Rhinolophus ferrumequinum: one gene and its partners. The protein of the gene in region 3 interacts with the protein of the main gene of each other region in a pairwise test. Links are inferred from orthologs where the notes say so. Each region holds a gene or a part of one and is shown on either strand. Other genes may lie near its edges.

What was found. The genes of interacting proteins can lie anywhere in the genome.
Region 1: the proteins of ATPAF2 (region 3) and SORBS2 interact in binary tests that used the Homo sapiens proteins (3 or more experiments, as listed by UniProt). The two-hybrid records come from large-scale screens. The link is inferred for Rhinolophus ferrumequinum from reciprocal best matches to the Homo sapiens genes ATPAF2 and SORBS2.
Region 2: the proteins of ATPAF2 (region 3) and PKP4 interact in binary tests that used the Homo sapiens proteins (3 or more experiments, as listed by UniProt). The two-hybrid records come from large-scale screens. The link is inferred for Rhinolophus ferrumequinum from reciprocal best matches to the Homo sapiens genes ATPAF2 and PKP4.

Annotation. Positions count from the first base shown.
Region 1 is NC_046287.1:76,148,747-76,152,494, forward strand, and holds the start of SORBS2 (sorbin and SH3 domain-containing protein 2), read left to right. Parts: upstream 1-1,489; 5' UTR 1,490-1,606; intron 1,607-3,748. UniProt on the Homo sapiens protein: Adapter protein that plays a role in the assembling of signaling complexes, being a link between ABL kinases and actin cytoskeleton. Can form complex with ABL1 and CBL, thus promoting ubiquitination and degradation of ABL1.
Region 2 is NC_046291.1:63,590,433-63,594,180, forward strand, and holds the start of PKP4 (plakophilin-4), read right to left. Parts: upstream 2,472-3,748; 5' UTR 2,211-2,471; intron 1,518-2,210; exon of another isoform or gene 1,099-1,517; intron 1-1,098. UniProt on the Homo sapiens protein: Plays a role as a regulator of Rho activity during cytokinesis. May play a role in junctional plaques.
Region 3 is NC_046304.1:790,194-793,941, reverse strand, and holds the start of ATPAF2 (ATP synthase mitochondrial F1 complex assembly factor 2), read right to left. Parts: upstream 2,652-3,748; 5' UTR 2,462-2,651; coding exon 2,329-2,461; intron 1-2,328. UniProt on the Homo sapiens protein: Plays a role in the assembly of the F1 component of the mitochondrial ATP synthase (ATPase).

The DNA.
Region 1 (3,748 bases), on a different chromosome or scaffold from region 3:
AAATACCCAATATTAATGCCTTTAAGTCTTATGTTTTATGATGGCCAGAGTCCCCAGGAAACACTTTTCAAATGTATTTTATGGAGAGTAGAGTATGCACCTTCCTATACATCTAGTGTATACCTGTCTCCTAGGAGTTGTGCAGGAGAGAAGACCCATTTTCCATTAACTCCCATATTTTCATTTTGGTACCTTTATTTGTAACCATGCTAGTCCAGGGACACTCTGTTTTAGTCTCCCCAGAGAATAAAGCTCCAGTGTTCTGCCAAGATGAAGGATGGACAGTTAGACCCCTGCTGTTTTTAGCCCCACCCTAACTCTACTTCCAAAGATCCATTACATCATCACCAGTTCCAGAGCTTATTTGGGCTGGCACATTGTGATTTCTGTCACTCCTTGACTTTCCCCATTGCTAGCTTAGGATCCAACTTTCCCTGGTCATGTAACCTATTCACTGCTCTCTAGTTTTCTAAATTTGGTTGCAATTTTCCCGTTTCTTTGTCCTTGTGGTTTTATTGTTTTTAAAAGAAAAACTTTATTGTCATTTTAGTGAGGCTTTATGAGGGAGAAATGGTTAAATGTACGCAGTCAGTTCACCATCTTTAATTTGAAGCCTCTCATTTTAAAAATAATATACTAATGGGTATTTTTTAATACCCTGTACTAAATTCTTGACTAAAGTAAAGTAGGAAATTGAATCTAATAGATAGATAGGAGATGGTAAAGCTATAGCTTTAATTCTTTTCTTATTTTGCCTGCTTTCATAGAATAAAAGATTTGATATTTCTACCTATTTTGTTCTAGAGACGTTAACAAAGGCTTTACTATTTTTCTATCAGTGATCTTTATGCTTTCATTATTATAGCCATATAAAATCAACCATAAATATTGTAAGAGCATTTTGTGTAAGAGATTTATAACACTTTCTTACAATGGTTTCGGTAGCCTTATTCAACTGTATCTCCTGGCATTTTCAATAACCCTCTTAATATATTCTGTCATCCCCATCTGTTTTGATTTAATGTTGATTACACAGACATGCCGTGCTGCGAGAAGCCACCTGATCACTTCAGCAGTATGTTATGCGTGCATTAGACTCAAGGTATTTTCAGAAATGAAACATAAAACTGCTATTGTTAAATTATATCCATTTTATTAGGTTTCTCCTGGGTAAATTATGTAGCCCTTCAGAAAATAAAACATCAGACATATTCAGAGACAATCACATCACTGGGTTTTAAAACCAGTTCAATTTAACCTGCCACTAATTCCCTAACCGGCAATTCTCTGAGTGCATCCCTAGGGAAAATATATTGAACACAGTTGAAGGTTAAGGCAGAGGAGTCACAGTGAGACTAGGAGGCAGCCAATCAGATGGCGAGGGTCTAAAGATCTGATGCCTCCAGGCAAACACCAAGCTGAGCTGCTTAGTCTCCTTTCATTGCCGACGAACACCACATACATGTCGTAAACGCTCCCTGTGTGGGCAGCAGCCACCAAGCAGACCCTGTAGCTAAGAAGAGAGGGATACATGCCCCAGCAACTCAGTCTGCACCACAGCCGACAAGACAGCGATATCCCTGTGCTGGAATGTTCTCATGCAAAGGTATGGGTTCTTTTTCATTGAGTTGCTATATTTCTTAAGGATTACGGAAAGCAGAGATGCTGGTGCTGGAGGAAGATCTCTCTGCTTTCTAGTAATGCTTTGTTCCTGTTCTCAGTGTAAATGCCAGCCTTTGAAGATGGGTAACCTCTGGGGGAGACGGTAATTAGCAGAATAAAGGAACACTTTACGTTGCTTAAGCTGACTGTGTACAGACCTTTATTAGAACAGACTCTTTGTTATTGTTGCTATTGTTCTGAAGGTAAACTGGCTAAAAATGCAGCTTTAAATCATCACATTCTGCTACGTCTATAACTAAAGAGACCCAGGGAAAGAACTAGGGGGGCGGGAGGGGGCAGGGAAAGTAGGGGGGCTACATGTCTTGAAGGTTGCTGCAATTTATCTAGCTGTCTACCAGCCTCAGAGAGAAAAAGGACCACACTGCTGATCTAAAGTAGAGAAAGAGAATTTTGTCACTGAGGGTTCCTCTATGCTTTTGACACAAGTTTTATAAAGAACACTTTGCATATTCTCATCGGCTTAATAATTAAGATGCCTTAATTATCATTTATTACTGACAGCTGGTGTAATCATCTAACAGTCATCCGCATATTAGCAGCTCTTGTTTTAGTGGTCCAGGTAATAGGAAGGATAATTTAATATGTTACAGAGTAACAAAAGACCCATGAGAAACATATTGCATTAGGTGAGGCAGGAGATTGCTTTGTGGAGCATTTATGTTTTGGAGTGAGTCCCTTCTTTTGTCTCTCGTCTGCATCAATTATCTGTTAGAAAGAATGGATAAAACAGGGACTTCCATCATGTACCATGTGTTTAGAGTAACACAATTATTTCTTCTGTACATTAGGCAATAGTTAATTTATGTCTAAGACATTAAATAGTTAGCCATATGGAAAGGTTTCACTGGTAAGTTGTTCATTATTCTCCACGGGACATTGGAAATCACACATCAGTGGATTATCAATGGTGGCCTGAATGAAGTTGAGATAAACTGTTGTCCCAGGGAGCAGAAATGAATACAAGGTATACTTGGCTTCATTTTCCAGTTATCTCTCAAAAGCATGGCTCATTAACATTTTAATCTTCATAGTTAATTATCAGGGCGAGCGTTTTCATATCACATCTCTGAAAGCTCTCCTAAGTAATGCAGATTCTTTGTGTAGTTATTTTTTTAAAGAGGGGAAATATTTAGGCAATGGTTATAGTTTCTAAATTGCCAGGACACTGGTATTTTTCATTCTTGTTTTTATTCATTTATTTATTATTTATGGTCTGTGATGTTAAATACACTTTGCCCCTGTAACATCGTCAGTTATGCTATTATGATACACTTTGTGACTTTCAGTTTCTCTAAATATTTACAAGGTACATGATTTTATTTACAAATGTCACATAAGTAAAACTAATATGTATAAATAATATTTAAAAATCACTATTTAAACTTGAAAATTCACTATATTTAGTTATATATAACATATAATTAACGATAATAAAATATTGTAAAAATTAAAATTCTAAATTTTAAGATTTAAAAACTCAATTCAAATAAAAATAAGAATATTTTTTCATATATGTTAAATTTTTTGATTTATTTATTTCTATATTTAAAAGCTATTGCTTTGGAGAGGGTGAAATTAACTAATTAATGGGATGGCCATAGGGAGTTTATTAGTAACTTTGATGAATGGGAATGAGAATATAGGAATTAGTAGTATTTTGCAGAAAAGAATACAGAAGGATAATATCTTGTGTACTTGAGCTATGAGAAGTGTTCAGACACCTGAGATGATACAAAATTTATTTCTATGAAAGGAAGAATAAAAAGAACAGTCAAGATGTAATCTTAGACAATAGGGTTAGAGTCAACAAAGCCTTTTAAGACATCAGAAGATGGCTTAAAGGGAATGAATGAAAGCAAAAGGAGGGGCATTGCACTCTGAAGCAGCGTCGGGAGAAAATAATGGACCTAGACTGGCCTTTGGCACCAGACAGACCTGGATGAAATGCCAGCGCTGCCACCTACTCCCTGTGTACCCTGGGTAAATTAGCCCCACCCGGCTGGTTTGTGAGAGTGAGAAGGAGTCCACATAATTATAAGTAGTTCACGTAAATATGAGAAGGGTG
Region 2 (3,748 bases), on a different chromosome or scaffold from region 3:
TTGATCCACCCAAAGTGAGTGCTGGAAGACAGCTAGACAACCAATTTATATTCCTGAATCTGATACAAAATAACCAAGTTTGGAGAGGCTTATAGTAAACTCAACCTCCAAAGCAAACTGTGTCAAATAAAAGCACACATTGTATGCTTTTCAACATCAGAAACACTTGTTTTAAACACCGGTTGTTCTCATTTCAGGTTGCCATTTTCCATAACTGTTACACAGGCATCAAAAAGATACTTCTATAGCAACATATTGCATTGAAAAAGAGAAGCAGTCTTCTACCTTCCCTTTTAAAATAAAAGAATCTAAGATCAATTCTAGAAAATTATCTTCTGTCAAAAATTTGCTTTTCTTCATTAAGGAAAATAAAATTTGACCAAAAATGTATACTGATCATTATTGATTTTACACAATAATAATTACCATTCTTTAAAAGTTGTAGGGCTGTGTTAATTTTTTTTCAAACTCAGAAAAAAAAAAACAAAAAGCTGCGACCTCCACTAATAAATTACATCTTTAAATATACATGATTGTGTTGTCCCCGTGTTACTTTCAATGGTAACTGACACGCCCCGAATTTAACTGTACCAGACAGTTCTATCTGTCCCATCGCTGACCAAACACTGCTTCTCTGTTTCTACTCATTATATATTATAAGAGGTCTAAACACAGCCCAGTATGACAAGAAAAATTCCAATTCTTATGACAGCAAAGCGATGCATTCAAGATCTCTTTTGCAGTACATCGCAGTCCATGAGCATTAACAGACATTTTTTGATAGAGCTAAAAAACGTTGGCTGCAAGCTCATTACTCTAAGAACCTTCTGCACCCTTTCCTGCAGGTTTTCATAAAACCCCCGGAAAAACCAGGCACAATTAAAACCTTGCAAACCAAACTTGCCAAGAACCGTGTGCAGTGATCAATAACCTTAGCTACACTGCCACTGGCCCCAAATTCACGGTCCTGGAGACCAATGCAGCAAAAACCCAAACGAAAGGCTAGATGAAGCCCAACAGAACTGCCGCGCTTCCCCTCCGCCGCCCTCTCTGCCGCATGAAGAGGCAAGGGGAGGAGAGGAGTGAAGCGAGCCTCACCAGCTCCAAAGATGCTCCGGTGACCTCTGACTGCGCGGCCGGAGCTGGGCCAGGAAGGCTCTAGTGCAGCCGCGGCGGGCCCTCTGGACTATGCCCCTGGTGCATTCCTCGCATTCCTGCACAATCTGTCGCCAGCCGACGAGCCCGCGGCGTGCGTCCCCCCCGGACACAGACACCTGCCTATTGCTGCTCCCCAAGCGGCCACGGCCGCCGCGGCGCTTCCAGTGCCCGCGCTCGCTGTTTGTCGCACTCAGCCAACATGCAGCCAAACCCCGGCCCCGCGGCTCACCCCCTCGCTTCCCCGGTAGGGGGTAAAAAGGAGAGGGCCGGGCAGCCCCAGCGCCGGGCAGGGACACCCGATCCGCCAGGGAGGTGCCGCAGCTCCACTTCAACTACTGGCAGGGAAAGGAGGAAGCGGCGGCGCAGGAGGATAGCCAGGGAAGCTCGGAGCTGGGGAACCGGGAGGGGTGGAGCGTGAGCAAACGCCGCGAGCAAAGAAGGGCGCACTGGACAGAGCCGGGTGGGCAGGACCCGCTGGAGTGCGGGGCTCCGGGGGCAAACGCGAGACCGCGCGGCAGCAGGGGCGTGGGAGGGAGGGGAGAGAGCCAGGATGCAAGATCTGGGGCGGGAGGGATGGACAGACGGCTCCGAAAGCTGGGGAAGGCGGGCGCCTCGGGGTGTTGGGGGCGCGGGGCGGCGTGCCAGGCGGGCAGGAGCTGGGGAACCTCCCGGCAGACGTCCAGGAGGGCTCGGCGTGGCGCTCCAGTTCAGGGCTGGGCGCTCTGGATGAGAAAAGGCCAAGGTGGGGAGGGGTCACGCGCGGTATGTAGGGGAGACCCGAGGAGAGGAATCACCGGGAAAAGCAAATGGAGGGTGAAACTTGTGCGCCTGCCGGGGGGAGGGGAGCAGGCAGGCGAGTGCGGGCAGGAACACGAGGCGGGGCAGGAAAGCCAAGGCGGCCGCGAGGCGGTGGGGACGGAGTAACGGGAGGGAGGCGCCCGTCCCCCCACCGTGCCCCTCGCAGGCAGGTCCCGGCTGGGGCGCGAGGGGCCGAGGGCCGGGGGTCTCGTGGGCAGGAGTCTCCGCGCTCTCCAGAGAGCCCGCACACTTACTTTCCAGGTCAGGCAGCGGCCGTCGTCGCTCCGGGGATCAGGGACAGCAATGCCGAGGGGTCGCCCCTACGGCACCCGAAAAATTAAAAAAGTGCCGTGGCGGAGCGGCTGCCCGCCCCTCCCTCCCCCACCCGCCCCCTCCCCCGAAGCGGCTCTCCCACCACCCCCGGCGGCGGCGGTGGCCAACTTGCCCCTCTACCCGGTGCCCATGGTGCCGCCTCTGCGGCCGGCAACGACACAGACTCAGCCCCGGAGCCCCCTCTGCTGCCCAGAGGCCGCCGCCGCCCGCCCAGCCGCTAGCCCGCCTGCCCAGCCAGCCCTGGGCTCCCGGGAACGTCAGCACGCCGCCGTCCCCAGACCGGCTCCCCGCCAACCCCATTGGTCGGAAGGAAAAGGCTGGCCCTCCCTATTGGCCCGGCCCTCATATTGAACGGGCCAATGGGAACTGCGGTTTCAGGTTGCCATAGAGACCGATGCTGTTAAGAGCGTGAGGGCCTGGAGAAGGTGGAGAGTGAGAGGGAAGGTGTCGGTGGCTTTGGGCGCCGGAGGGGGGTGGGGGAAAGAAGTACAGGGGGATTCCCGGGAGCTGGCTTTAACATTTGGCGTAGCTTTTGCTTTGCCTTTCTGTCAGCTCCAGCAGTGAAAGGTAGGGTTTGTTCCTGGCGTCAAAGGCAGGAACAGCTGAGCCCCAATCCTTGAAGGTGAGAGCCTTGGAGGTCGTTCTCTTTTCCCGCGTCTGGGGAGCCCCTGAGGCTATGCCCATTGACCCTAGAGATATGAGTGCAGCTTCTGCTTCTCCAGGTGAGTTTGCTCCCCACCCCTTAAATCGCTGCTTCCTCCTGACGTCACTGAAACTCCTGAATTCTACTTGTTCTTCCCAACCACTCCTTGCCTAGGGCGGATCTTGCCTCTAATTTTTGGGTCTTCAAACTTACAGCCCTACATAAAGGAGATTCAAAAAGGATTTCCTTTGGATGATAGTTCGATAAGGAAACTGACATATTGTATGTCATAAGCTCAACACAGAAGATAATGTGTTCCCTGCTTCCCGAAGCAATCCTCTAATCTCTGTGTTGAAGGATATTTATTAAACACCTATCTGTGTGTGCTTTCTGCACTATGAGCTGACAGATGTTTGCTCTTTCCCTTAAGAGGTTACAGGGTGGGGAAGACAGGTGACAGAGTCAATCCGTGTTTCTAATGATTTCACAAGAGAGTGAAGGAAATAGATTACAGTTGATGGATTTTGTTTTCAGGGTATTTTCCAGATGATGTCTAAATTTGATGGAAGAAAACAACAACAACACTGAGCCATGGAATCGGTACACACAAAAATCTTGATCTTTTAACAAATCTCATCTTTTATTTAAAGTTACGTTGTGCTTGTTTGTCAATACCAACTGTTTTTGGTAAATAATTTTCATATTTAGATACTGGCTCCTAAAATGAGACTTCATGAATATATTAGGCTTTTAAGCATTATATTGCTCTATCATATAGCCACTAATATTCTTAGGTTCCTTCTTTTGGTGGTTTTG
Region 3 (3,748 bases):
TGATTGTCACCTGTGCTTCTGACCAACCCAACCAGCTATGAATAGGAGGTTCCCATGATGCCTCCTCAGATTTGATTAATTTGGTAGAGCAGCTCACAGAACTCAGGGAAACATTTCACTTCCTAGATTACCAATTTACTATAAAACGATACAAGTCAGGAACCGCCAGATGGACGAGATGCACAAGGGAAGGTATGTGGGAAGGGGCCAGGAGCTTCCACGCCCTTTCTGGACACGCCACTCTCTCAGCATCTCTACCTGTTCACCAAGCCAGAAGCTCTCTGAAACTGTCAGAACCCGTAGTTCAGGGATTTTAGGGAAGCTTCCTTAGGTAGGCATACAAGCCATTAGTGATGCAGTCACTGGCATGCAGGGCCTCTGGTCCCGCTCCCCGCACCAGAACGCAGGACATGCTGAGGCCAAAAAGGAACACCCACGGAGCCATAGATAGGGGAGTCATACCACTATCGTCTCGCTGGCGGCTGGGTTGGAGACACAGGGTGGGAGACACAGGAGCCGCAATCTGCTGTCTGCTTCCCTGCCAACCAACGTAGCTACGGCATTTATATTAGTGGCTACGGCTAACCGGTAACAGCTGATGGCCACCCAGTCACAGCGGATGGCCACCTGATTACAGCTGATGGCCATCTAATAACAGAGCCAGCACCTGTCCATGTGAGGCCAAGGGCCTGGAAACTGCTCTCTGGGACTCGGTCCCCACAGTCACTCTTTAGCCCCTCTCCCCTCCACGGACGTCAGGGGGTAGGGCTGAAAGTTCAACCCTCCAAATCACCGGGTTGGTTCCCCTGGCAACCAGTCCCCATCCTTAGAGGTTTTCCAAAAGTCACCTAACTGACACAAACTCAGGTGTGGTTGAAAGAGACTTGTTATGAATAACAAAAGACACTCCTTTCATCTTTATCACTCTGGAGTTATGTGAGGACAAAAGACCAAATATTTTAACAAAAGATTCTCCCACAGCTCTTCTGGCTTTTAGGAGATGTGTGCCAGGAAGAGCATAAAGGCGAAATACATATATTTCTTATCATAAATCCCACTTGTCAGATGCCCCTCCTTCTTTACTGGCTCTTCATGGCCCACCTCCAGGCCCTTCACCTGGCCCTGATGGGTGAAACCTCAGATCCCTGTTGCATCTACCCTCTTCCACATTCGTATAAAATGATAGAACTTAACAGAAGAAACCTCGGAGGCAACCTAGTCCCTCAACTCACACAGGAAAATGAGGCCGGAGCTCACACAGGACTTCAGCGGTTCAGCCAGTATCAGACCCCAGATTTGTACTCCTGCCATGATGCCCAACTGCCTGTGGCGTTCTAGGTTTTCTAAAGGAGGCAGTGCTACAGCAGCAACACCCCTCACACCCCACTGTCCCCTCTGGATGTGTTCTAGCTGCCCAACTCTCTTCCTCCTCTACTCATCTATCAACTCTCAGCTTAAATGTCCTTTCAAAAAGTCAAGGTCTTTCTAGACCATGAACAGCCCCAAGATGGGAGTAGGTGCTTCTTTGTACTTCACAGCTCCTTTGTGCTTCCCTGATCAAGGCATTGCAAGCTACTGTTTAACCAGGATATAACCTTCTGCACTTGACAATGACCATCATTCAGGTGGGACCACATCTGTGTCGTGAGGACCACCATGCCTCCTGTCCTCAGCACAGAAAAACTGAATGGAAAGAGAGTTACTACTCTTCACTCATTTCGGTCACTGCCACTCTTACCCTAAAACCTCTCCCCAGAAGCAATGAAGGAGTCACTACCTTCTGCTACGCCTCATCAGAGTCAGGAGTAGAAGGATGCACGCGTATAGCGATCAAATGCTTAGCAGAGTGGCAGTGGCAGGGAGGCGGCGATGCAAGACCGAATGCCTGGGTTCTACACCCCTACTGTGCGGGCTCCCAGGACACACTAAGCAGTCAGACAGGCCAACGCTGGTCCTCCCCTAACTTCTGAGTCTGCTCTGTGACCTTGGAGTAGTGCTGATCCAGAACCCGAATTTCCGTCTAAAAACGAGGATGACATCTGCTTTCCTTATTAAAGAGAAGAAAGCCATAAACTTTGAGAAAGGCTATGCGTGCCAAATGTCAATTACTGTCCCGAGCCGTGACGCGATGTGTGCGATCTGTGCCCTCGGGGTGTCCCTGCCCTGGTCTGGAGTTCTTTTTCCTAATCTGTAACCCCATTGGCCTGTGTAACCCGATGAGCCTGAGCCCTGCCTCGGTTACCCCACCTGGCGTGGCCGAACCCCTCGGCCCACCTTAGCCCGGCTCGGCCCCTGGCCAAAGGGCGTATATGCCCTGGCCTACCTCACCTGCCGGGGGAGCGTAGTCCCGGGATGGGGACAGAGTGTTTGGCCCCGGCCCCACGGAGGTCGTGGGGCCACCTGGGGACCAGTTCAGGAGACGGCGCCCCCAATTCCGCAGGCGGGGGCAGCTCCTCCACATCGCGCCCGAGGGCCTGGGAGGGCAACGGATGGGAAACCTGAGAGCAGGAAACGGAGCGAACGGATTTCCCAAACAGCACGCTCCGGCTGTACGGAAACCTCTCACCGCCTCTCTAGAGCCCTCAGACTCCCCTGGACGCCGCCATCTTCCGCATGACACCGACGGCGTGCCGTCACTCGCGCGCCTCCTGCGCACACCCTCAGTCAATCAGCATCACAAATGCACTTCGCCCCGCCCCCTTCACGCCGCGCTGCGGGAAGAAGACTACAAGTCCCAGAGGGCGCCTCGCGCACCCCGCCACGTGTTTTTCTCCTCTCGCCAATGGGTGGAAGCGCCGCGTGAGCCTGCTCCCTCCCCGCTGGCGAGCCCGGGCCAATCGGAAGGGGTGGTGTGTGTGTGTGTGTGCGTGTGTGTGTGTGCGCGCGTGTGTGAGTGTGTGTGTGCGCGCGCGCGTGTGTGTGTATGTTTGTGTGTGTGGGTGCGCTAGGGCAAGTGAGGAAGGGGACTCAGCTCAGGACGGGGAGGCGCTCCTCGCAGGTCCCGGGGTCCAGGTGGCGGCCGGAGCACTTGGTCCGCAGGCAGCGGGCGGGTGGTCCACCCTCCCGCCCCAACCACGCGCGTGCGCGCCCCGGCCCCTCCCTCCCTGCCACCCTCCTCGGCTCCCGCGCGGCGGCGGCGGTTCCTCTCCCCCTCCCCCAGCCCTGGCTCCGGGGGACCCCGCGATGCCGGTCCGCACTGAGTGTCCCCCGCCGGCCGGTGCCTCGGCCGCCTCCGCGGCCTCTCTCATCCCGCCGCCGCCCATCAACACCCAGCAGCCCGGCGTGGCCACCAGCCTGCTCTACAGCGGCTCCAAGTTCCGCGGCCACCAGAAGAGCAAGGGGAACTCGTACGACGTAGAGGTGGTGCTGCAGGTGAGCGCCGGGCCGGGCCGGGGCCGGAGGGCCTCCTCGCGGCGCTCACGGGCCGTGCCTGCCCCTCGGCTCCTCGAGCCCACGGCCGCGGACCAGGCCCTCGCCGCCGGGCCTCCTGCACCCGGCGCTTCACCCCCGGGACCTGCCTAGCTGGTGTCTTACACTCTCTGAGCCCCATTCCTGACCTGCCCCCTCACACCTGGTTTCTGTCACGAGCAGCTCCTGGCAGTACCTGAACACTCTGCCAGACTTGACGCCCATGACCAGCCCGCCTGGAATCCGGAAGCCCCCTGTGATCGGTCACCCTCAAACCTGGGTCCGGCGCATGACCTGTCACCCCAAGATCAGCCCTCCCTCCAGTCCCGCTCAGACCCTG